4 linked regions of the Drosophila melanogaster genome follow. The protein of the gene in region 2 interacts with the protein of the main gene of each other region in a pairwise test. Each region holds a gene or a part of one and is shown on either strand. Other genes may lie near its edges. The genes, in order: vir-1, ATPsynCF6L, CG17032 and RIC-3.

Region 1 (5,952 bases), on a different chromosome or scaffold from region 2:
CGTTTAGTTTAGTTTTAATTGAATTGTCAATTAGATAGTGTTCTTACATATTCAGAAATAAGACTTGAATTAATCTTCAATTAAATGACCACCAATTTTTCATAACCAGCTTATTGCCCCATAAAAAAACTGTGAGTATTTCCACTTCATAACAATTGCAACTGATTTAGGCCAGACACAAAATGTTAATTATCTCACTATATATCATACAATTTAACCAAAACATTTGTATGGGCTCGAAAATTAACTTCAATTTGCATAACAAAATATCCGTCTAAATTAAACAAATTGCCCGTCTATTCAGCGGCAAATGCCAACAATGAAAAATACATGTAATAATTCACCAATAATTTTCATAATTGTTTTGAGTTTTATTACTCCACACATAGTTCCACGTACGAGCAGCAGAAATTCGAAAAAGGAAAAAAAAAAGTGATTTATGTGAACATGCAATTGCAATTTGTTCTGGGGCAGAGAAAGACATTCCCTGGAAAAAGTTCTTAAAAGCGAATTATGGCCACAATTAACCCAATTCTTTTGGCCATGGGACACTGACATGAAGCGATCTCATAAAAAACCAAATTAAGAAAAATAAGAAAACAAAACAAGCGAAGAAAAGTGCTCAAGAATTTCACTTGCAATCAGCCAGAGAAATTGGGATGACTTGAGTGTATAATATGACAGTTCATTCAACCGATTCCGAGTTTGTTGAAGAATGTAACAATATTAATTTAAATTTGAAATATATAATCCAGAATAGATTAGCCTGCAGATAAATCCAGTATATCCACAATTATCGTGATTTAATTGGTTACGTAAATTATTTTAATTGGATATGATTCTATTCTCAGCATGTTCAGATCGCAAATCATTAATAATTAAATAGAGAAAACAAATGTTTAAACAGTACTAATCTGACTTATATGCACAGTAGTTAGAGTAGCTACTATGTGTATTTTGAAATATGTAATAAAAAACATTGTCTCATCAATTTACGAAATATTTCATTGCAATTTCAAGCACTCATTGCTAAGATGATTCTCAAGCAAGATTTGCCGAAAAATTGTGATTCACGAGTGTTGCATAAAATTTGTATATTCCTGGCAAATGATTTGGACAGCAACGAATTTGACAACTTCAAGTGGCTGTGGCAGCTGCCAACCCGCTGCCACGCCCACTCCCACCATTCCGCCCATCTGTGGGGGTATCTGCGATTCGCTGGCAGCTTCTTCAGCAATTTATGCATTCAAGTGGCAGCCAAAGGCAGCGAACAGCAAACGCTGATGATGACAATAAAGGACGCTGGATCTGCGATGCTGCGCCGAGCATTCCTGATATTTTGCCATTTGTAGTTACTTGTGTTGTATCTGTAAGATGCATTTGGCTGATTGTCAAGTGCCACGCTTTGTTATCAGCATGCTGACATCATTATCCGGCAAAGGCAGCGACTTTAAACTTTAATCTGCTGCAGAGTGGAATTAAAACATTTTTTCATATCCAACAGATTGTATTTACTAATAATTACGTATTATATGCATAATAATTTATTTATATTGCTCCAAGTCACAATTACATCGAGGTAATCTTTAAGATTCTACCAGAATATTCCAGATCAAGAAGGTATAAGAGGAACGTACTACGTAGAAGAGTGCAAATCAGAATTCCCGGTGCTTATCAATTTTCTTTGTTTTTAAAGTCAAAAGGTTGACTGTGTTTTTTAATAACTAATTATGTGCACATAAAAATGAGAAAGTAAAGAGAAGGAAAACAAATATGTATGTTGCATATGTGTACAAATTGCATATTAGTTAGTTCCGTTATACGTATTACTTAGGGCAAGTTAACATTTAGTTTTCAAGTATTAATCATTTAAATGTTAATTTATGAAGTGCATCATGATTGGATTGCTTTTAAGCCTTTCACTTACCTGGCAATGTGAAAACGCCGCTAAGGGCTAGCACGGTCATCAGCAAACCGAACAAGAGCTTCATTTTTGTTTGGTTTTTTTTTTTTCACAAGCTTATAATTTGTTTAATTTGTATAGTTTATTTAGGGCTGAAAGCTTTGATGCGTTGATGTGGACCGGCAACCGGATTCGATTCTGTTCAGTTTTGTTCTGTGCGGAAAGACAAACAATCGTCAAATGCGCTTAAATGATTTGAGGAAGCGGCAAATAAACGGCGGCCGGCTGAGTGAGTGAGCGAGTGAGAAACCGAGTGAGTGACTAGCTGACCGCTCTCTTGCTCTCCCTCTCACTCAATTAGCCGCTGGGCTTATAAATATTCCAAATGGCAGGCGGCAAGTGTTGTGGGAAGAGCGCTACACTGTGCCCGTCAACTGGGTACAATATTTGGGGACTCCACTGTGTACAGAATGCAGCGTATTAGTAATGTTCTTAGGCACATTTAAGTTAACTTTTATTTTCGTTACACCTTTTTGTTTCCGTTATAGCTTACTGGTTCATTAACTATTGTATCTACTACTATAAAAAATATAATATAATATAACTTTATCTTTATAATTATATATATATAAAAGCAGTTCTAAAAGGGCATTTGCTACTAATATTTTAAAATTTCGATTAAAAGGGTGTTTGAAAGTCGCCGTTGCTCATTGAACCTTTTGTAAATTTAGTTGTGTTTTCAATTTACTTAATCAGTTTTTGTCTATGCTTCGTTAGCTGCACGCGGGCTTCTCTATTCCACTATATTTGTATTTCAGACTTTAAATGTGTCCCTGTCACAGTTGCTGAATGTTTCAGTCGCCCCATTCGTATTTCAATTCCACTTCGATTGCATTGTATGGAACTATGTCTATTCAACGGCTGCTCGAATCACCTGTTAAATGCGCTTGGTGTTTAGTTCAAGGTTGTTGTTTCTGTAAACAAAAGCATCATTTGCTTATTTCCCTAATGGGCAGCTATTGAGAATTTTCTTCCAAGGAAATGAAAACGGAGCTAAAGACTATTCTCAGTAATTAAATGGTTATGATAGAGTGCTTCTTTTTAATTCCATCGATAAAGTAGTCACGCCTTGATTGAGCCGGGTTTAATCACGATTTTACTAACGAATATGCCAAAGATCGGCAATTTATTGGAAATCTTTAGTTAATCCGATTATGAATGATCTTTTTGACCCGAGAGAACTTACGATATAACACCCAATTACAGTTCTGATAAATATAAAAAGCCGTAAAGAATTTGTATAATTATACACTGATTTAAATCTAGAATGTATTATAATCTCAAAATGAACTGGAATTTTTGCACATCAGAAAATTATTTAAATATCTTGCCCGACAGTAAATTTTTCAAGGTCTTCAAAATTAGCAACTATAAACTTTAAATAGCATTTTTAATGTCTGATAGTTTTAGAAAGCTATTGTTTATGTTGGGCTCAGCATAAAAGTGAGCACAAGTAAATATTTCGCAAACAGCTGCGTGAAGTAAATTAGGCATCCAAATTATTGCCCAGACAGCCTAAACAAGCTGCAAATTGTTTGTTTGTAAACATTTTTGTCAGCGCCGAAGCGGAAATTGTTCACGCACACAATTTCATTCACATACACATGCCGACAACCGCGAATTTGCATAAATTTTATTATTGTTACCGGTGTCATACAGTTATTTCTGTGGATCGCTTGAATCACTCGATTTCGAAAGATCGGAGAAGAACGCGCGATCTTCAACGTGCGTTGGCTTTAATGAAACGTTTCGGACTAAACGGTTGCGTACGATTTTGGCTTCATTTATACCAGCTCACGTCGTTGGCACTCAAAAAAAAACAAAGAATTGAGAAGAGAGACCGGGAAAGGGAGGAATGCGCAGAGAAGAATACGAGAGCGAAGAAGGGTCTTCCGAGTGCTCCAAATGTGCATTCAACAATGTTTTAATTAAAAAAAAAAAAGAAAAATAACTAAAGAACTTTCAATTTTATATTTTTACAACAGATCCACTACCAAAGATGCCCCATCCTGTTTACCCAAAAAGTAGCAGAAATTTTACAAAAAGAATATTCATTGACACGTCAGTGGGAGCAAAAATGAATGTCGCCAGCGGAACGCGAATGTCCTCCAGTGCAGTCCCTTGACCAAAACCGTTGGAGTTCGAGGTGTATGTATAAAAATCAGAAATTCAAAGCGGATGGCCGACAGCGCCGAGAAAGAGGCGGGGATATAGTTAGCGACAAGGAACGCGCGCCAAGCTACGTTCTTGGATTGACAATGAAGTCCACCTGCCCCCTTTTACCTGAACTTGCCTCTTGGGAGCCGTGTTGCTTTATGGTTTTCGACCAGATTGAAATCGCGATCGGCGCAGCTACAGCTGTTAAAATCTCCTGCAGGCTGCTCTTCATGCTCTACAACTTGTAATTCTTGTCGTGGTCCCACGAACCGGATTCTGTTTTAACTACACTTTCGTTGGTTTTATTCGAACTGCTATTTTCGTTTTACTAAATACAGGTTTGATTGCACTATGCCTTTAAGTGGCAGAGGAGCATTTAAAATAAATTACCATTTTCGGTTAATCGTTGACACAACATTCTTGCGGTCGAGTCAATAAATTCCCCAAAAAACAAGATTTGGTTGTCAAGGCTTCGAAGTGAGAAGAATTTGAGTCAGCTTAGTCCTACATATATTTAAGTGAGTAAAGCTTGGCTTTTAGGACCAACGATATTTTAAAATATCAGATTGACTTGTTTTTAAATAAACTATTTACAATGCTATGATCTTCAGGTAAATATCGTAGTATATTTTCTATTTTTTTATATATACTAATTATATATATTTTTCTTTATCATTTGCAGTCTCTTAATTAGTCATAAATCTTTCGAATTTAAATTTAGACACCGGATGACAGACAGAAACACTCACAGATTATAACGAAACGTGCTCTTGACCTTGACACTGTTGGAAAAAAATGAAGTACCCATATTCAGATATTTATTTTAGGATTGAATATTTTTAGAATGTTTTAAATTTCCTTGATAAACTTTATTCTTGCGCCATCTATGTACTTGCAGAAGACGCTGATACTAGCGCCACCTGGCAGCAGTAGGTTCTTAACATTTCTGTTAATTTTACAGAGCTGGAAATATGCTGGCTGTTCGAACGAGAGTTGCCAGATGAATTTAGACGTTGCCTTGGTAACGGTTTTCACTTGATTTTATTGTCGAAATAAAATAAATAAAGAAGGAAAACAAATATAAGGGACTAAAATAAAATAATAATGTTTCGTCGTGGAAAACTATCCTTTCTAAACACCAAAGATGACCGTGTTAAAATAATAAACGAGCGCATAAACATAACAGAAAGGCATCTAATGGAGATGTGCTCTTCGTTTGCTTTGGTAACGCGGAAAATGGCCAAGTGAGTTTGGTAAATAAATAAATCTGAATGAATAATCATAAGACCTTGCAGATATCGGGACTCCTTTGATGAGTTGGCCAAGAGTGTGAAGAGCTACGCCGACGACGAGGAAATCAACGAGAGTCTCTGTCAGGGACTGAAGAGCTTCACCAACGCGGTTACCATAATGGGTGATTACATGGACATCAATGTACACCGATTGGAACACAAGGTGAATTATCCTTTTTTAAATCTGCATCTTATATCATATTATTGACTTATGTAGATTGTCAACGAGTTGGCGCAATTCGAGCAGCTTTGCAAGTCCACAAGGGACAATCTTCGACTGGCTGTCATAGCGCGGGATAAGGAGGTACTACGTCAGCGCCAGATGCTTGAGCTCAAGTCAAAGTTTTCTGCGAACAATGTGGGTATTAAAACGAACAATTTACTTCTTATATAATTCCCAAAACTTACCGTAGAGTGCCGCCGATTCGGAGCTGTTTAAGGCCAAAATGGAGGTGCAGCGCACAAACAAGGAGATAGACGACATTATTGGCAACTTCGAGCAGCGGAAGTTGCGCGACTTAAAGCAGATAATCAGCGATT
Region 2 (4,165 bases):
TACAAGAATATTACCTTGTTTTAGGCAAAAAGATAAAGTTGGGAACTCAGACCACTGTCTTTGTTTCAACCTTGTGCAAGACGTTGCTCTCGTTGTACCGAGCCAACAAACAAGCGAAATATTATTTACGAGCTGTCAAATCCCAGTTAACATGCCTTACACAAGGACCAAGGACGTCTTCGGTGTGTTGGTGTAGTTGTTTGCTCGATGCGGGCGCATAGTTCGCTAAGAGACAGCTGAAGATGCGCTGCCACAGTTACAGGACACAGAGCTACAGATACAGATTAACAGCAACGGTACCAGAGATATAGACACAGATACAACGGGTATAGATACAACCGCACTGCCAGACACTCGTATGGCATTCAGAAAGTGTGCCAGGACGTCTGGACCGTAGTCAAATGCCGGATCCTTGGATCTTTGGATCCTTGAGGCCGACTGTAGCGGAGCGGCATAATAAAATAAAAAAGCATAAATGAAAGCGAGGCCAGGCCACGAAAATAATTTAAATTTATGTACTTGTGCGTATTTATTTGTGCGTTTGGCTTGTATTTCCTTCGCGACGTCTCTTGATTTGTTTTTCTCGCTCCCACGCTCGTCCTTTACACGCTGCCTCCTCTCGCTTGCCATCGTTTTATCAAGAGCAACAGCAGAAAGCATTAAATTCAATTTGCTTGTGTGAGTATCTGTGTGTCTGCCACTCAGCGTCAGTTACACGGAAAAAATGGAAGTGGGTGGGATGGGGCGTGCGGGAGCGCCAAAGGACGAAGGACCAAGGGGAGGGACAAGGCCATGCGAATGGCGGCGACCTGTTGTGTTGTTTAAGGAATTACTTAACATGGTAAAAGCATGGTGTGTGTGAGTGCTGCTTATGCATGTATGTGCTTAATAAAAATTTCGGTGCGTTCTTTTTTCGGCTCTATCCTGGAACAGCTACAAACGGGTAGCTCGAATCTGCAGGCATTTAAATTCATTTTCTTTTAACATAAACATTTTATAATTTTTAAAGTATTAAGAATTGTGCGAAAATTTTAACAACATTTAAAACGATTATTTTTAGTGATGATCTACTTTATCTTGTCCTTTTCATCCTTGCCCTTTGGTTCGTCAGCTTTCTTGCCATCTTTGGCTTTCACTTCTTTTTCCCCACCCTTTTCTTTGGCCTTTACTTCTTTATCTCTATTCTTTTTCTCAGGCTTTGGTTGGTTCTCTGGTCTAAGTAAATATTTATATTTTTATAAAAACTTTTTCCAATTTAACTGTAACTTACAGATCATCAACCGAAATGGGATCAATATCAATATCGGGCAACTTGAATTTCGGAAACTCGAGCATATCCACGCCCTCGCCGCCGCCGTATTGCAGAGCCAGGCGCTCAGTGACTTCCTTCAGCTCCGCCTCGAATTCCGGACCAGGATCTACGGGCTTTCCCTTGGGACTCTTCAGCCGATACTCGCGCACCTTGTCCAGGAAAATCTGATAAATGGGATCCTTGTAGCGAAGGGATGCGGTATTGCTCACACTCCTACATAAAACTAGGCTTGGTTTTAGGAAACGGCTAAACATTTTTTTGTTAGTTTTGTTCTCTGCTGACACGATACTGTTTCTATGCGATAAAATATGATTCTGAGATATCTTACTCAAGGGTAATTTGATTTCAAAATTAAAATAAAATCATTGTCTTCAGAACAGGTAAGCCATCTTTTTTTAAGATTTGAATTTATATTTTTAAACGTTTTATATCTTTTATTTTGAGTATTTTTTGCGTTTATCAAACCCCGCATTTTGGGCTAACGCATCTGAAGTGCTTCCCTGCTCCAGGACGAATTTTTACGCACCGTTGCTGCCCGTTCTCCTTTATTCCCGAGCGTGTAAGATTTTCTCTCTGTCTGACTCGTCGTATCTGCGAATGTCTGTGTGTGAGTGGGCTTGACAATGCGAGTGCCATCTCGACAAGTTTTTCTCAAAAAGTGAGACAAGTGGAAATCCGTTAAAGAAATACGTGAAACACATAAAGGCGATGATGTTGCTGCCGTCAACTTGCTGTTGCTGTTGCTTATGTGCACGCAGCAAGATACATAAATATATGCGCGTGTGTGGACAAAGAAATGTCGGCGGCAGCAAATAAAAATTAATTGAAAAATGTTTATCAAGGACTTTGCAGGGGAAAAATTTAAATGCACAGAGCAGAAAAGAGCTGAAAAGAGAACTGAGCCGTCGGACAAACTCTGATAATTGATGGGAAGACATGGCTGTGAAAATTATAATTAATATAAATTTCCATTCACCTTTTTTCCCCTCCCGCACCATCGCTGACAGTGCAAATAAATGGATCATTGTCGAGTGCGAAATGAGGAATGTGTAGCTTCTAAACCGGGCTTAATCGGCCATCGCCACATGCGGCTCATTTCAAATGCAGCCAGCACTCATGCTGCGTTTCGCATCCGCCACTCGAATTAAAATATACGAACATATAGTACGTACATATTGTGTGCAAAATATCCACACCGAACTAAAAATTATGCAACGCATTAAAAATTTAACAAGCGCTTATCCGCTTAGTGCAACGCCCGCAACACGAGGGGTTTTTGTACGCCAACGTCACTTTCAATATTTAAATTTTGACATTTTCTGCATTTGACGCCGCCATGTAGTGGAACGAGGTGTGGGGGGGGGAGGGGGGAGCGCTGCGCGGGACATGGACAATATTGCATCAATGCAAATTGGGCAGAAATAATATGCAAACATTGGCACAAACAGAATGGCAACCTAATTGGCAGCAATAACAAACTTCCCACGCATCTGACATTCCAATGAAGAGGGTTGGCTGTCGTCCTACGTGTTTTGAATCGATCAAGTTTCTAATACAAATACTAATATAAGTTTTTGTCAAAAAAACTGAGTTGAACTATAAATATTAAGAGGTTTTTTATCTGTGTTTAAAATATTGAAACTTGTTTTATCAACATACTTGCGATCCTATTTCTATTAGTATTTTTGTTCGGTGCACCAATAGTTTAAGCGTTCATTGGCGAAAACAAGAAGACGTGAAACGGTTATTGCCTGCTGGTGGCATATATCAGGTCTTTTTTGTCTGGTGCCGAGCGCATGTATCTCAATCTTCATTCCGACTACTACACAGAGCTAAGGATTAAGCAGTTGTGCGGCTGCCACGCCCCCGCCATTAAAGTAGTTTCCCCTAACTTGGTTAGAATTAATATTTAGCTGAGCGCAACTTTATTTGCAGTTGGCAAATGCTTTAACCTCCCCCGCCGACAACAAAGTGAGCAAAGTATCCTGCGGTTGCCTGCCGCTCCTTGAACGTGTATATGTATCTGTGCATCTGTGTATCTGTGTATCTGTGTATCTGTGCATCTGTGTGCCAGTCTATCCACGTAACTGTGTGGGTGTTCGTACATGATGTGGCTGTGTGTGCGTGTTTTAAAATGCAACAGATGCGCCAAATTAATGCGACCATTAAATTGTATTAGCGTGTGCAAAATGTAAAGCGCATTTGCCAGCAGATTGCTTCAGCCAAGTGCGAGTGTATCCGAGTCCCGGGGTTCTGTGTGGGATTGTGAATGCATCCCGCTATCACCGCAGTCTCTGTGCGTTGTATTCGCTGCAAATTTGTGTGTGAATAAACATGAGAGTCGTTGCATTAATGCGCATACAAAAGCCAACTGAGTCGAGTCCTTGCCGGCGTAACAGCTATCCCTGCGTAGGAACAAGGATTTAAATATCACCGAGAGCGAAGGGGGTTGCGGGATGCGATGCTGGGGGATTGAGAGCTGCTCAATGCTAAAATATCACACAGCAGCAGCATCAAGTTTATGTGGCATGCCACAAAGTACACACAGATACAATTACACAGGCACCGAGCGATATACAAAACTGCATTTGCCGCTTTTTGCCCGTGTGTGCGCTTTTCGCCGAGCTCTCTCATAAGTGCAACTTCAACGCGGCGGCAAATAAAAATGATAAATACGTTTTTTAACTAGAGGATAAAGAAAGGGGGAAAAAATTAAATTTTAATATCGTTTACCTCATTGTAACCTATATCATAGAGCTGTGTATATTAAAAAAAAAAGCTGCAAATATGGAAATGTCTGTAGAAAGATTCTTTTTTGCAATCAAGAAACATGAGTGCAACTGTATTGTTTTA
Region 3 (5,108 bases), about 11 Mb from region 2:
ACTCACAGGACCCAATGAAACGGCTCCAAAGTAAGCAACCCATACATTTAGATCTTAAAAAGAATTTTACCAATGTTATTTTTAGATTCAATGATCCGCACATCAAGACCAATTTGCTGCTTCAGGCTCATCTTTCGCGATTGCAACTGGGACCTGAACTGCAAGGCGATACGGAGCAGATACTGAGCAAGGCCATCCGCCTCATTCAGGCCTGCGTAGATGTGCTGAGTTCAAATGGCTGGCTGTCGCCGGCTGTGGCTGCCATGGAGCTGGCTCAGATGGTCACGCAGGCCATGTGGAGCAAGGACTCGTACTTGAAACAGTTGCCGCACTTTAGTCCCGAGATTGTCAAGCGGTGCACAGAGAAGGTGAGAGTAACAACAAGTGAATCTCTAGGATTATCTCATGTTTCGTCGTATATTTCAGAAAATCGAAACCGTTTTCGATATCATGGAATTGGAGGACGAGGATCGCACTCGCCTGCTGCAGCTCTCCGATTTACAAATGGCCGATGTTGCTCGATTCTGCAACCGTTACCCCAACATTGAGCTGAACTATGAGGTGGTGGACAAGGATCGCATCAACTCAGGATCAACCGTTAATGTAGTGGTTCAACTGGAACGTGAGGATGAGGTCACTGGCCCAGTCATTGCTCCATTCTTCCCGCAGAAGCGCGAAGAAGGATGGTGGGTCGTCATAGGTGATCCCAAGACCAACTCCCTGCTCTCCATCAAACGGCTCACGCTGCAGCAAAAGGCAAAGGTCAAGCTGGACTTTGTGGCACCTAGTCCGGGCAAACACGACTACACTCTGTACTACATGAGCGATTCCTATTTGGGTTGTGATCAGGAGTACAAGTTTTCCATCGAAGTGGGTGACTTCCAGTCGGAAAGCGAAAGCGAGTCAGATTAGTTTTCTTTAGGATCATCAGTTGGGCATGTTTGCACAAATGAAAATCAATCATTTTACAATTTACGCGCATTAATTGTAGCAATAATAAATTCGTGTACTACTTTAGTAGAAACCAAATTGTACAAGGATACACTGAGGATAATTATATAAAGTAGTACAAAAAAAAAAAAAAACAAAATAAAAAAAACCTTTCAACTTTCTTTCGCTGGTTGATACCAAGAATCTAAATATTTTGTAGTCAACAGTGCCAATTCTTATATTGTCTTAAGCTTTTAAATTTCGTATGGAACAATTCAAGTTTGTTGTAATTTGTAATCTGGATCATCAAAATGCAACCGTTTAGATTTTAAAAAAATCATTCAAATTATTCATTCAAATTCAATTCAATCATAAATATTTATTTGGATTTTTTAGATATTTGCACATAGGATTGCTGACAAATAGATTAACTTGGAGGTATTTTCCCTGTATGGTGAACTTGGCTTTTAGCGGCTGACAGAAACTGCCGATCCATGGCTACTGCCACGATTGGCTCCTCCATTAGCGAAGCTGTTCGTGGAGCTAAAGTTTATTGTCTGTCCATTGGGAAGATGGTAAACCTGACTCAGCGAAGCACCTGCCGCATTATTGGATCCAAAGGGGCTGGTGTTCTGGGACTGAGTGGCCGTGCTTGCGGAGGAGGCACCGAATGATCCATTGGCACTCTGCGACTGGAAGCCCTGAGCCTGCCCACTGGCGGCCGAGGATCCTGAGTTGAGTCCATTGTTGTAGTTGCTGTGGGCAGCTCCGTTGGATGCGGCCTGCTCCTGGTTGTAACCACTGGGTCCGAGTGGTCCCAGCGGATTTAACTCGACGTTGGCATTGGCATTGCCGCCATCTGGTCCGGCACCAACATCAACACCCGCTTTGGTTCCCCCAGCGCCGGCCGATGTACCTGCCTGAACTTTTCCACCTTGATTACCGCCGAATCCGGGATTTCCTCCGAATCCTGGGTTACCGCCGAATTCCTGATTACCGCCGAAACCCTGATTACCTCCGAATCCCTGGTTGCCTCCAAATCCTTGATTACCGCCGAATCCACCTCCAAAACCAGGCTCTCCACCGAATCCGCCACCGAAGCCGGGATTTCCAGCATACTGACCACCAAATTGTCGCCCAAACTGACGCTTCACCCTCTTGTGAGCGGCCTGGATTCCGGATATTTGATCCAGGACCGAACGGACGCGACGCACCTGCGGATTAGACTTCGGTTTGATGTACAAGGCTGATTCCACCACTACTTCCTCGATAGTGGCGCCCTTGGAAGCTGTAAAATGCAATGGTATATACTTTATAAAATATTTTATATTTATTTTAATTTAATTAATAGAAGCTGAATAATCGGCAAGCTTATTATTAAAAAATTCGGAGCAATCTATTATTTTACTAAATATTTTACGCTTTGTTCGCACTACAGAATGTGTACATATGTATACACAAAAATTTATAGATAGATATGTATTTATATATATTTACAGAATTTCAGATTTGAAAAGTATTTTCCAAATGTATTTAGGAAGTTTTACAATCTAAGAATTGTAAGATTTTCGAGCGTTAAGAATTTTACTTACGCAAATCATCATCGCCGGTTTGAACCTGCTTCTCGTTGCGCTGCCTCAGTTGAGGAAACGCCGACGCAGCTGCCAGACAGATGAGGGCCACAAATAGCACCGGAATTGATACATTCATTTCGTGTTCTTCGATTAGATTGGTTGCCTTCTGGAGATCGCAGCTGGACACGTCCGTTGGCTGCGCCGCTTCGCGATCAACTGTTGGATGTATATATTTCAGCCTGTCCGCTCCGCCGCCAATCGGCCGATCAACTCTCACTTTCAATCGCCGTAGGGGGCTGCCCCTTTGGTCTGGATGGCGCTAATTGCTTCTATCAATATTCAAGATGTTCGGCAAATACGAAGAAAAAAATTGAAAACCAAAACTGGCTTGTATAATCCAACGATTTTTGGCACATGTAACCGATGCAAACTTTGTATAATGTTGTATTATGTAGGAAAAAAACAAAACGGGTGTACAAAAGCCGAAACCGGTTGGCGGCCAAAGCTCGTGGAGGAACTAGTTTGGTTTTCTTTTGTTTATTTTGTTGCTTGGTTGCTTGCTGCTTGGTTTTTGTTGCTTTTCGATTTCCATTTCGGGAAACAGATGTTGTCCAGAACTTTTACGGGTCCACAGAGTGGAGGCGGACAGATCTCCCCGAATGAGTTGGTGCTTGCAAGTGGGGGGCATCCCAGTGAACATTTGTGTAGGATTTCCAAAGGCAGACGCTTGTCTGCCCTTTCAGCTGATAAGAGGCTAGAATTATCGGTTTAGTTGGAATAATCACTTTTATTTCTATTTCTAATCTAAAAGGCTAGACAATCTTTCAGAAAAATAATTCATGGGAGTGCTTAAATAAATGAATAAATGGAATTTTGTTGTAACATACTATTACAATTTAAATTCGTAATTGAAAGAAATCAATTATAAAAGCAAATGGTTTATTATAGTAATAAATTCTTCCATGAATACATTAGTTAAATAAACTGTTTATTACTCTTTCCACATTTAATCTAAAAGTATTGACAAATATTTCAGAAATTTAAGTAAGTTGTGCAATACGAATTTAAACGCGAATTAGGACATTCACAGCTTCCTTCCATCAAAATGAGAATGAAGTGAACGATAACAAAGGGACATTTGTTGAGATCGCTTAATCAAACATGTAATATTGGGTATATGCGAACGACTTGATGATGTATACGAATTTGCGTACTAACTAAATGGATAAAACACAATGAACCGAAAGTAATATATATTTTTTGTACAACTTGAAAGTCGTCATGAGGCGCTTGAATGGTTTGTTTTGCGAGTTTTTCCTTACAATATTGTTTTTAATGCTTACTCTTACGTTAAGGAATCAACAAAACTGAGCACTGTTCGATATAGTTAGCATTTAACCTAGGATAAGTGGTTAATCAGCGGCTGAGGGCCTACTCGATGCCATGGGCGAAGATCATGACCAAACCTGGATCGATCATGACGTCCTCAGTCATGTGGAGGTTGTCGCAGCTCAAAACGAGCACAGCTTGCTTGCCTGCGGAAGAGTAAGTTTAAAGATAAAGCCTTGTTGTTAATATTTATGTTTAAAATTGTTACCTGGAATGCGTCGACACACATAGTTGTCGTAGATCCTACGATTGGTTTGACGTGTCTCTAGCGAACTGAGCCCACGGGGCCAACGTCGCTCGTGGCAGAACTCCATAAGACTATCCAGGATGTGTGGCGGACAGCCCGACTCGGACAAAGCGCGCTTGATCATGAGCTATCAAATGAAAAGTGAGTTAACGTTTTAAAAAAATTTAGAATTTGGGCTTCACCTGCAGTGCATCGTCGGGCGTAGAGATCATTCCCCCCCAGCGCGTAACCCTGGCCCGGGGCAGTGTGCTGCTCCAGCGGATCACCTCGTCGCGCTCCATCTGGTCGGCTATGGCCCGCATCGCAGGATTGGAGACGCGCATGGCACGCATAAAGTCCTTGAATAGCTGCAGCTCGCGCTTCAGTTCGTTGATAGTCAGCTGCTGGTCGGTGAGCTCCGATTTGAGCTCACCCATTTTTTCCGTCTGCTTGACAATTAAAGTGCGCAGCTCCCGCACGCAGTTGTGGTCCTTTAGCTCATCCTTGGGTATGTCAAAGCCGCATCCCTTCTCGCAGGGAAATGGTCGCTTCGGATTGTGAATGCATTCGTCCAAATGGGAATTGTAGGCGTCTAGCTTGAGAACAGCCGTGCAGCCATAAGGCGCATTGTCACAGGTGATTGACAGTCTGGTTGGCAAGGGTCAAAGATTAGTTAGAGTCCACAAGGTTCACAGAGTAGAAGGCGTTGGGTTTTTCTCACCTGGACAGTAGGTTGCGCAATATGCGAGGCACTGCCCGCAAGTTGGCAGTAGTCAGGGAATTTCGATCCACCGGACAAGTGGGCTGGCGGGTTAGCCACTCGTTAATGCATCCGCGGCAGAAGGCGTGCTCGCACATCACGGCCTGAATCGGTAGATATGTATGATTGTTTGTATTTAAAGCATATGTATGATTCGCGGTGTGCGTTCTTTGCAAACAAAACAAACCTGCAGCGGATCCTCAAGCACTCCGGAGCAGATGGGACAGGT
Region 4 (8,926 bases), on a different chromosome or scaffold from region 2:
CTAAGAATGATCTGCAAGTTAATTAAGTTAATTAATTGATATAGTTTAGTAGAATGGCTTATCCATACGGCTGGTTCCTCGGCTGAGCCATTGAGCTCCGAGTCGTAGACTTCTTCGCGTTTGATCTGGGAGTCGGCAACCAAAATCTGGGACTCATGGGCCAAAGCGCCTTCCAAGTAAATGGACTGCGGCTCCGGCAAGTTGTCTTCCAATTTGGACTGAAATCGAAGAGGGATTCTATTTAGTATTTCTGATATACATATTTAAAAGCTTCAACACATATGCGCAGAGGAGGTTGAGAGCGTAGGAAACATCCCAGTTTAATCACTTTTTTTTGTAGGGATATATTGAAAGCGTTAGGGTAGCAGTTAGTCGAAACTAGTCTAGTTAAGTTGAGAACTTGAAAGTGGTGGGGGGTCTGTGCGTCAGTGGCACTTACATGTTCGCTTGGCGCTCGGAAAACAGGCGTTGGAGGGCGTCCAGTCCACTTGTGGCCGCCCTCGCAACTGGCTGTTAACTCCATGCCGAGTACCTGCACCAATATTCGATTATTTACGGCAAAGATCTACGTACTCAAAGGTGCTATACAGGGTATATAATGGCATACCGTCAGTTCCTGTTCAGCGCTTAGATCCCGCCGTTTCCTGGCTCCCTTCGCCACGGTCTCCTGCTCCGGATTTTGGTCGGTGCTGCTTGCATGTCCATTGGATAGGTTCTGCTTGTCTAGTGGTTGCTCCCTCGTTTTTTCGTTGTCGTTTTTCTGCACAGGATACACAGGATATAATACGGTTAGAGAGGACACTCTCGAAACAGTCAGTAGAATGTGAGAGCTAAGCAATTCTATACAGCCTCAAAACGCAAGAAATCAGAAATCGAACGCATTAATTACTTCAATTCGTTGTGGTTAGGTGAAACGCAACAAAACTCAATTAGTCGAAGGATCTTGGTTAATAAACAAAAAGATTAAGTTCTTGTTACAAATTATATGTTCAAGGATTGCCGTGCCGGACCCTTTGAAGGTCTCTAACCTTATTCGAATCAGTTTCAGTGTCGCTCGTCGCCCTCTGCTTGTCTTGGCCATTCAATTGCTCGTCGGCCGCGTCTATCAAACCTTGTATGGCCGTAACAACTAGCCCCATGAAAGTACAGGGTATCAATTTGGGATTTACATTCATTTTTTTTTTTGTGTTTTTGCGAGAAACATGAAAAACGTAGAAACGACACAGAGAGTGAATATTTATATAGTTGTTTCTTTGTAGCTCTGAGTATGAAATGATGTTTGCGATTATCTTTATTGGCAATGTAAAGTTACGTATAGTGTTCGAATAGATTTCGAATAAGACTGCTTTGAATCGTAAAATATGTCCCCATCATAAGAGTTTAGTTTAGTTCAGATCGAGAGTACTCAGTGAGATGCAAACACATTTAGACTGGGTTCGTTAGTAGATACGAGTATGTGAAAAGATATGTTTATATATATATATATATATGCATATATCGCATGCCGACAGCAGACAAGCAGGTTAAATTAGAAACAGAGTCGGGAGAATTCCGTTCCATGCACTTGTTAGACTTGAAGATTAAGGACAGAGTGACATAGTTTTAGAACTGAAGGCTTTTTTTGGGGGGGAGGATGTGGCAGGGGGGTAAAAGAAACCATTCCGAGGATTCAGCTATTCACTAGAAACCAATTGAAAACAGAAATAATCTAGTTGACTTTGTTCGTTGTACTTAGTTGTGATCTGAGTTGTTGTTGGTCTGATTTTGGTCTGTTTTACTGACTGATTCTATGTGAACTGAATGATGGTTATTATTGTCTTAGAAGTTTGGCTGCCGCTTGAGAAACTTGAGGGCAATCATCTTGAAAATGAGAACACAAAAGAGATCAAATATTAATTCAAATGACAGCGAGATGGTCCAACTGAAATCACTACGATATATGATGTGCTACTAGATGTATCTGAGTCGCGTTGTATAGCTATATCTGTATCTGTATCTGCTTTTTTCCGATTCGATGACGATGGTAGGAAGCTACTGGATACTGGATGCTGGATGCTAACCTTTGCCTCATACTGATCGGTGTTCATTTCGGCCACCAACTGGGCCATCGCCCGCTCCGTGCTCTCGAGTTTCTGGCGCAGCTTCTCGATCTCCATCAGCTGCTCGGCCTCCTTCAGCTGCTGGTGGCTCTTCAGAGAGGCGGACAAACTGCTCGCCACCTCGGTGGCCGACACACTGGCGTTGTACAGCTCCTTTTCGGTGTCCTTGGCGGCCGGCTTCTTTGCGGCGGCAGTGGCGGTGGCAGCTCCTATAAAATTGTCGTACGGTTTGGTAATCAGGGCCGGAAATCGAATCAATCGAGGGACTAACGAAACTAAGGAGTATTTACACGGGTGCAGGAGTGGCAACAAAATAAATGTATATATCCATGGAAGCGTGATCAATTCGGGGTTAGTATATATATATATTTATAAATAGTATATAGGCACACAACATCTAGAATGAGTACATCTAGGTAAATGAAATAGAACACATAGTCGCTACGATACTACGATACCAAATGAGGAGGACATATTTCAAAACTCAAAAGGCCTTTGTCGAGGTCTAGAAACTCAAGATACGAACGAAACTCTATGGTCATCTATGCAACCATCTATATATATCTGGCTTACTTGTCTGATGCTCTCGCCAGCCTGATACCGTGGCATGATTTTCGGTGTGCATGGGTTTTTTTGGAAGCAGAAGAGTACAAAATGCGATTTTTTTTCGGTTAGGATTGAATCGTGAGTGCGGTGGCTAGAGCGATTGTGTGTGTGTGTGTCCAACTACGAGTGTAATAATCCGGAAGATGGCATCCGAATTGGCCTGGCACTCACCCAGTTTGCTGCCGCCCAAATCCTCCACCTGGCTGTGGTTCTGTGATCCGAAGACCTCCTGCCGGAAGGCAGGATTTGGAGGCGCCGCTCCGTACGGATCATTGGGAACTTGCTTCTTGAACATAATCTGCATGTAAGAGTTTTATAGTATTATAATTACATATATACGATCAAAGAGAGTCACCTTCATTAGGGTGTAGCCGAAGAAGACTACGATGCCAATGGTGTAGAGTGGCATTAGGAAGCCCATGCTGCTGCCCCGCTGTTGTGGCTGATGCAGTGCACCGGCGCCCATGGGTGGACGCATTCCAGGAATGGGTCCAGGCTAGAAAGTACATACATATGTCAAAAGTTACTGAAATACAATAGAATGCCGCCAACAATCAAGGTCATATTAAATGTATCAGGTATACGCCCCGGTGGTTTCTTAAGTCAATTGTCTTTAGATATTTTTGAACTGATCGAATATGTATATTCTATTGTCCTATGTAATCATAAAAATTACGTATCCGCCGCGATGTATATTGACATAAAGATTACTCAAGACAGTTGTCTTCGAAATCTTTTGAATTGATGTCTTTGTAGGAGAAGGGAATCGATTGTGTTTTATTGACAACCCATGTAATCATTAAAATTACGTATCCGCCCCGTTGTATTTTGACATGAGGCGAGGACAGCTGATTTGTGCTCCCCGGCCATTCTAGCATTCTAGTAGCGATGAGAGCAAAATGGAACTGGCGCACTGAATTTGGCACAAGTTCAATACGCAGCAGCACATTCGGCCGATCTCCCACTCATCATTTACAAATTCTTTTTTTGTGTTTTCTTTAGCGCTGTCTCTTGCCTTCAATTTGCGTGCAGTGTCATAAAAACAAAACCCGAATCCGAATAAAATAAACGTTTGGCTATTTATAAATGACTTCCAACGCGAGCGCGGATATGTCTCATCCCGCCGTCATTATAATCACATCGACCACAGCCCGCCGACCAGTATAACTATATATATTATAATTATGGATTTATCGTCCGGAGAATAATGCACACCGTATGGTTAAATGTATAGTAGCCCAACTCACCCGTCCGTCGACAATCCGCGGAGGCGGATTACTGGGCGAAGTCTTTCGTTCTAGAATCGGCACGGTGGGCGTGGCGGGAATGGCGCGACCCCGCTCCCTCATGGCCTGGTATATGGATTCCGGATGCAGGTGGGCGGGACGCTCCTGGCGCAGACCTGCGACCACAATGGATTCATTAGTAACACAATTAAACTATCAAATTTTTAATTGACATAAACACTACATTTTAGAAACCCAAACATTAATAAACTCATTAATACCGTAAAGGTTAGGAATCTAAATGTATCTCAATCGATTGTTTCATGTAGATACAATCTTGTTAGTAGAGCCAAACACCGTTAGTAAAACCAATAAGCAAATTATAAATAATCGAGCCACATACTTATTTCGCCCGTGTAAACATTGATTTGCTTGCGATACAAATGCGGACCGAAGGGCTCGACAGTGTCCTTCTTCGTGGCATTCAGAAACTGCTCCCTGTCCAGGACGACATCACAACATCCTACAACATCGACCGGACAACAACAACACCCACATACGGAAATCAAAAGAAAATCATGATGATAATTCATAAATAATAAATGATAAATGAAATTAAGTAAAGTACAACATTTATAAGCCCTAGCTCCTAATGTGGTGAATAGAATCTGATGACTTACCGCCTGGTGCTGCTCGTGGATCCTTGAAGTTTGGCTGGCTTGGAGGCACTCCTCCGAACATCATGGGATGGAAGACCTTTGGCCACAGGATGGCAATGCATCCGATCACGGTTACGATGATCAGGGCGGTCTTCTTGGGCGTCATGCCCTCCTCGACGAGCGGAGCTCTCGGCTTGGATGTGGCTGTAGCGGGCATTTTGGCTTGGTAGCGGATTCCGTGGGCTATCTGGATTCGTTTGGCTATGGGTTCGTGGTTAAAGCTAGTCCCTAAGGCAACTCTGCTATGTGTTCCTGATCGATTTGGTTCGTTGATGGCTCCCTGCGAGCTGTTGACTATGCGCTGTGTTTCTAGTTGCTGTTTAACTTTGGCATTGGCTCATTTTGGCTGGCTAATGGTTGATTTGCTGTACGTTTAAAGCATTATCTGAAAGATACATAGATGCATAATCGGTTACACGCTACAGTTCGCTGATTCCGGCTTTCGTTGGAGTTGTATTCACATCACTGATCGGTCACGAATCGCAGCGCAAAATGCTGTATACGTTTGAATATTGTTGCGGGAAAACAAAAAAGTTTATTACATAAATAGCGGTCCCGATCTTTTTTATTTTTAGCTCGCGCAATTCGCTCTTTTCGGCCCGTCTAATAATTCTTTATTATTTTCACTTTTCCCACCGCACAAATCACAATTAACGACCGCATAAATAATATTGAACGTTTCTCCAAAAGAAAATGCTTTCGTATCGCTTTTGGAAAACGGTTTTTGAACGACCAAGGGTTCGAAAAAAAATGAAAACAGAAAACTGGACAGAGCGACTGCTTACGCAAAGTTCGAATGTTGTTCCCGAACTGGCCAGGCAAATTTTTGAAACTATTAGCGAATTTTCGGCAGATCAGATCTGAAGACCCGACACACCATTCGGGCGCGCTTTTCCCCATAATCGTCGTCGGCCATTATTTTCCTTTATTTTTGATGAGACAAGTGATTTGCAGCTTGGGCCTGCACCGGGAATTTCCGAGAGCTACGCTACAGCAGCCGACATAACATTAATGCTCTCTAATTCATTTCGGAAATAGATTTTAAATCAAAATACATATAACTGCTTGGGAAATTGGGCAAACTTAATTTGAAATATTTCAGCAAAAAAATTTTATAATATAATTTTAAATTTAATTTTTTGAGCTATTGCTGCTGTTTTGCTGACCAGCACTGTGTGCGAAATTTCGTGTTTTCATATTTTTCATTTCGCAGCTTCTTCGCTCTTGTTATCACACACGCACACACACACTGCCAAGTGCTATGAGTTTTCCGACCGTTTTCCATTTCGCTTTCAAGCGCACTGACTGAAAAGTGGCGAAAGTAAAATTGTTTTTACTATGCACGTCTGTTATTTGCACAGCATCTTCTTATTTCCACCACTTTTATTTTAAAAATTTCCCTCTTCTTGTCACTGTCTACATTAATTTGGAAAACGTTTTTCGAGCTCTCTGCGCTTTTATTTTTGGAGGCACAGCATTTGTAATTTGGGTTCAATGCCGTTCGGCTTAAGACTCATCACTTATTTTTAAAAATTATGAATTCAAAGTGTGGAGATTTTGTCCTTGGAATTGCTCTCGTGTTCTGAGGTACCTTTTAAATAATTATCAGTTTCGTTTTTAAAGACTAACACCTTTGGTTTCAAAGTTCGTTTTCTTATCTAATTACGCTAATTTCAAACTGTTTGTTTGTCGTTATAAGTTTCTCTGCCAGAAAGCAGCAGCAATAATAATTGATTTTTCAGTCGACCGAACGGAGATGGGCAGCATTGGCTGTCAATCGATGCATGCGAGTGCTATCGATACTTTTCTATCGTTTAAAGTTAACGGATCCTTTACACTGATAGAAGGCTTATGGGATTTAATAAATTTTTGTATATTTGTAATTGTTTTAAATGGAATCACATTATTATTAATATATAAAGGTCAAATATATATTTGGTTCGTAAAATGGTTACTTTATTATGCATTATTATGATGTTAAACTAGACTAACTATATATAACTAAGGATCAACTAAGGATCCAATATAACGGTAATACGTAAAATGCGGAATATACAAATATTAATTCGCTCAGCACTGTTGCCCTTTATCGAAATTAAAATTATTCGATTTATCGATAGCATCGTGAGTGGTCCACCCAGCTCCAATGTTTTCGTCTTCTTTGTGTTATAAAATTAACAATTTATAAATACGCATTTTCCGCTGGACCACCGAATATCGTCGTGACTTTGAAGAATCACAGTGCTATCAATCCTCGAAAGCAAAAGGTTGTAAAATCGAAAGTGAACGCGCGCCTGGCGTGACTGGTTTCTAGGCTTTCACCCCACGAAACTGGAGCTAACAATGGACAGCGAGTCGTTGGCCTGTTCGTCGGTGGAGAAGGACCTGACCCGAGTGGTCAGCAAACTGGAGCAGCTTCACGAGAACGCAGAGGCGGACATCGGAGATATAGCCACACAGATGTCGGAGCTGGTAGAGGTTCTCAGCAGGGCGGAGCAGCTGGTGACCACTCTGAACTCGAGCACCCAGGTGTCCCAGGACGATCCCATGGGCGATGCGGTGAGCATGCAGGTGGAGACGGAACCGACGGCACCACAACGCCTAACCGAGCGCCAAGTGGAGAGCGTCCGGAATGCTCTCGCCAGGTGCCACGAGCGCGTGCAAAAACTGTCCACGGAGCACCGCGATCTGCACGGCTCCATTTCGAAGATCGGCAAGGCCATTGACCGCAACTTTAGCGCCGACTTCTCGTCCACCATGCGAGTGGACGTGCTGCAGGACGAGGAGAACCTGATGTTGCTGAACAAGGCCATTGCCAAGCATTATTGTCGCCAGGGCATGGACGATGTGGCTCGCACGCTAATCCGCGAGTGCAAGATGTCGCCGGAGCATGCCCAGGATGTGTTCGACTCGGAGCGCGAGTTTGCCGACATCTACGGCATTTGGGTGAAGATCCAAAAGCGGGATCTGACTGACGCCCTCAAGTGGGCAAAGATGTACTCCCAGCAGCTGAGTGACCGCCACTCGCTCATAGAGTTCCGGCTGCACCGCATGCGTTTCATGCAGCTGGTCTCCTACGGATTGGACTCGCAGCGCGAGGCCATCTCCTACGCTCGACTGAACTTCAAGAAGTTTGCTGTGCGCTATGAGCACGAAATAGCCAACTTGATGGCCAGCTTTATATATCTGCCCAGTGGACTGGAGAACTCGCCTTACAAGCACTTCTTGGGCCAGGAGAAGTGGACCGAACTGTCGTTCATATTCCTCAAAGACGCATGCCAACTGCTAGGCATTAGCAAGAACTCCGCCCTGTCTGTTGTGGTCAATGCCGGATGCACTGCCCTGCCCGCCTTGCTCAATATCAAGCAGGTGATGCAGTCGCGCCAAGTCCTTGGCATGTGGAACGGCTGCGACGAGTTGCCCATTGAGATCGATCTGCAGCCGGAATTCCGATTCCACTCGATCTTTGCCTGCCCCATATTGCGCCAGCAGACTTCCGAGGACAATCCGCCGAAGAAGTTGACCTGCGGTCATGTCATATCCAACGACGCCCTGCACAAGCTGAGTGTTGGCCACATACTGAAGTGCCCCTACTGCCCCGTGGAGCAGAATGCCGAGGAGGCTGTTCGCATCTACTTTTAAGCCACATCTATGTATTCACCTTATGATAATCACCACTGCTTATATGACCAGGCTCAGGCGGTTCGAGGACTGGTGTTGGTTGGCCGGCTTTCCTTAACAAAACGTAACCATTTTAAGATAGCTTGCTTAGATTCATGTTTTTAGACAAATTCGCAGAGCGGAATCGAACTGCCTGGGCCGTCTGTTTTGCGTGTGTCCCACTTCCTAACAAACGATTTAGATTTAAAATTATATATACTGTGTATTTAAAACAAACGACGAAAGTGTTTTTATGTAGAATCCATGTTTAATTAAATACAAATCGTCCGAAGAGCAGACACTCTAGTGCCTATGTTTGTGCTTGTGCTTGTCGCTGCGATGTCTCGGCGGCGATGGCTCTTCTCTGCGAGAGGAGCGCGAGGAGGTTGGAGAACTGCGTGATCGCGACGATCCGGAGGCAGGAGTTTCGTAGCGGGAGCTGCGAGACGACCGCTCTGTATACCGCTTCGGTGAACTGGACGGACTACGCGACCGATTGCGTTTCGAGGATTTGGATGAGCGCGAGGTTTCGGGTGAATAGTCACGTCGTTTGGATTCGCCACCAGAGAACGGCGAGTGGGATCGTTTGCGGGAACTGCTTCTGAACAGCGCTGGA

Evidence for each region.
Region 1: the proteins of ATPsynCF6L (region 2) and vir-1 interact in a two-hybrid assay, tested with the Drosophila melanogaster proteins (one large-scale study listed by BioGRID).
Region 3: the proteins of ATPsynCF6L (region 2) and CG17032 interact in a two-hybrid assay, tested with the Drosophila melanogaster proteins (one large-scale study listed by BioGRID).
Region 4: the proteins of ATPsynCF6L (region 2) and RIC-3 interact in a two-hybrid assay, tested with the Drosophila melanogaster proteins (one large-scale study listed by BioGRID).

Annotation. Positions count from the first base shown.
Region 1 is NT_033779.5:12,419,714-12,425,665, forward strand, and holds the start of vir-1 (virus-induced RNA 1), read right to left. Parts: upstream 3,727-5,952; 5' UTR 3,610-3,726; intron 2,150-3,609; exon of another isoform or gene 2,117-2,149; 5' UTR 1,992-2,116; coding exon 1,928-1,991; intron 1-1,927. Other genes in the region: Fam92, read left to right, coding at 5,225-5,364, 5,416-5,575, 5,630-5,770, 5,826-5,952.
Region 2 is NT_037436.4:5,010,530-5,014,694, forward strand, and holds ATPsynCF6L (ATP synthase, coupling factor 6-like), read right to left. Parts: upstream 1,605-4,165; 5' UTR 1,567-1,604; coding exon 1,271-1,566; intron 1,216-1,270; coding exon 1,068-1,215; 3' UTR 915-1,067; downstream 1-914.
Region 3 is NT_037436.4:15,956,798-15,961,905, reverse strand, and holds CG17032 (uncharacterized protein), read right to left. Parts: upstream 3,064-5,108; 5' UTR 2,641-3,063; coding exon 2,523-2,640; intron 2,219-2,522; coding exon 1,398-2,218; 3' UTR 1,297-1,397; downstream 1-1,296. Other genes in the region: Brr2 U5 snRNP complex subunit, read left to right, coding at 1-30, 86-368, 427-912; elgi (early girl), read right to left, coding at 3,936-4,039, 4,102-4,267, 4,323-4,767, 4,841-4,983, 5,067-5,108.
Region 4 is NT_033778.4:21,015,268-21,024,193, reverse strand, and holds the start of RIC-3 (RIC3 acetylcholine receptor chaperone), read right to left. Parts: upstream 6,411-8,926; 5' UTR 6,242-6,410; intron 6,050-6,241; exon of another isoform or gene 5,926-6,049; intron 5,463-5,925; exon of another isoform or gene 5,436-5,462; intron 5,132-5,435; exon of another isoform or gene 5,112-5,131; intron 5,036-5,111; 5' UTR 4,808-5,035; coding exon 4,612-4,807; intron 4,455-4,611; coding exon 4,335-4,454; intron 4,108-4,334; coding exon 3,953-4,107; intron 3,202-3,952; coding exon 3,061-3,201; intron 3,004-3,060; coding exon 2,877-3,003; intron 2,694-2,876; coding exon of another isoform or gene 2,673-2,693; intron 2,309-2,672; coding exon 2,061-2,308; intron 1,861-2,060; coding exon of another isoform or gene 1,819-1,860; exon of another isoform or gene 1,732-1,818; intron 1,130-1,731; coding exon of another isoform or gene 1,029-1,129; intron 761-1,028; coding exon 608-760; intron 533-607; coding exon 440-532; intron 219-439; coding exon 69-218; intron 12-68; coding exon 1-11. Other genes in the region: Sou (souji), read left to right, coding at 6,994-8,292; CG9346 (uncharacterized protein), read right to left, coding at 8,614-8,926.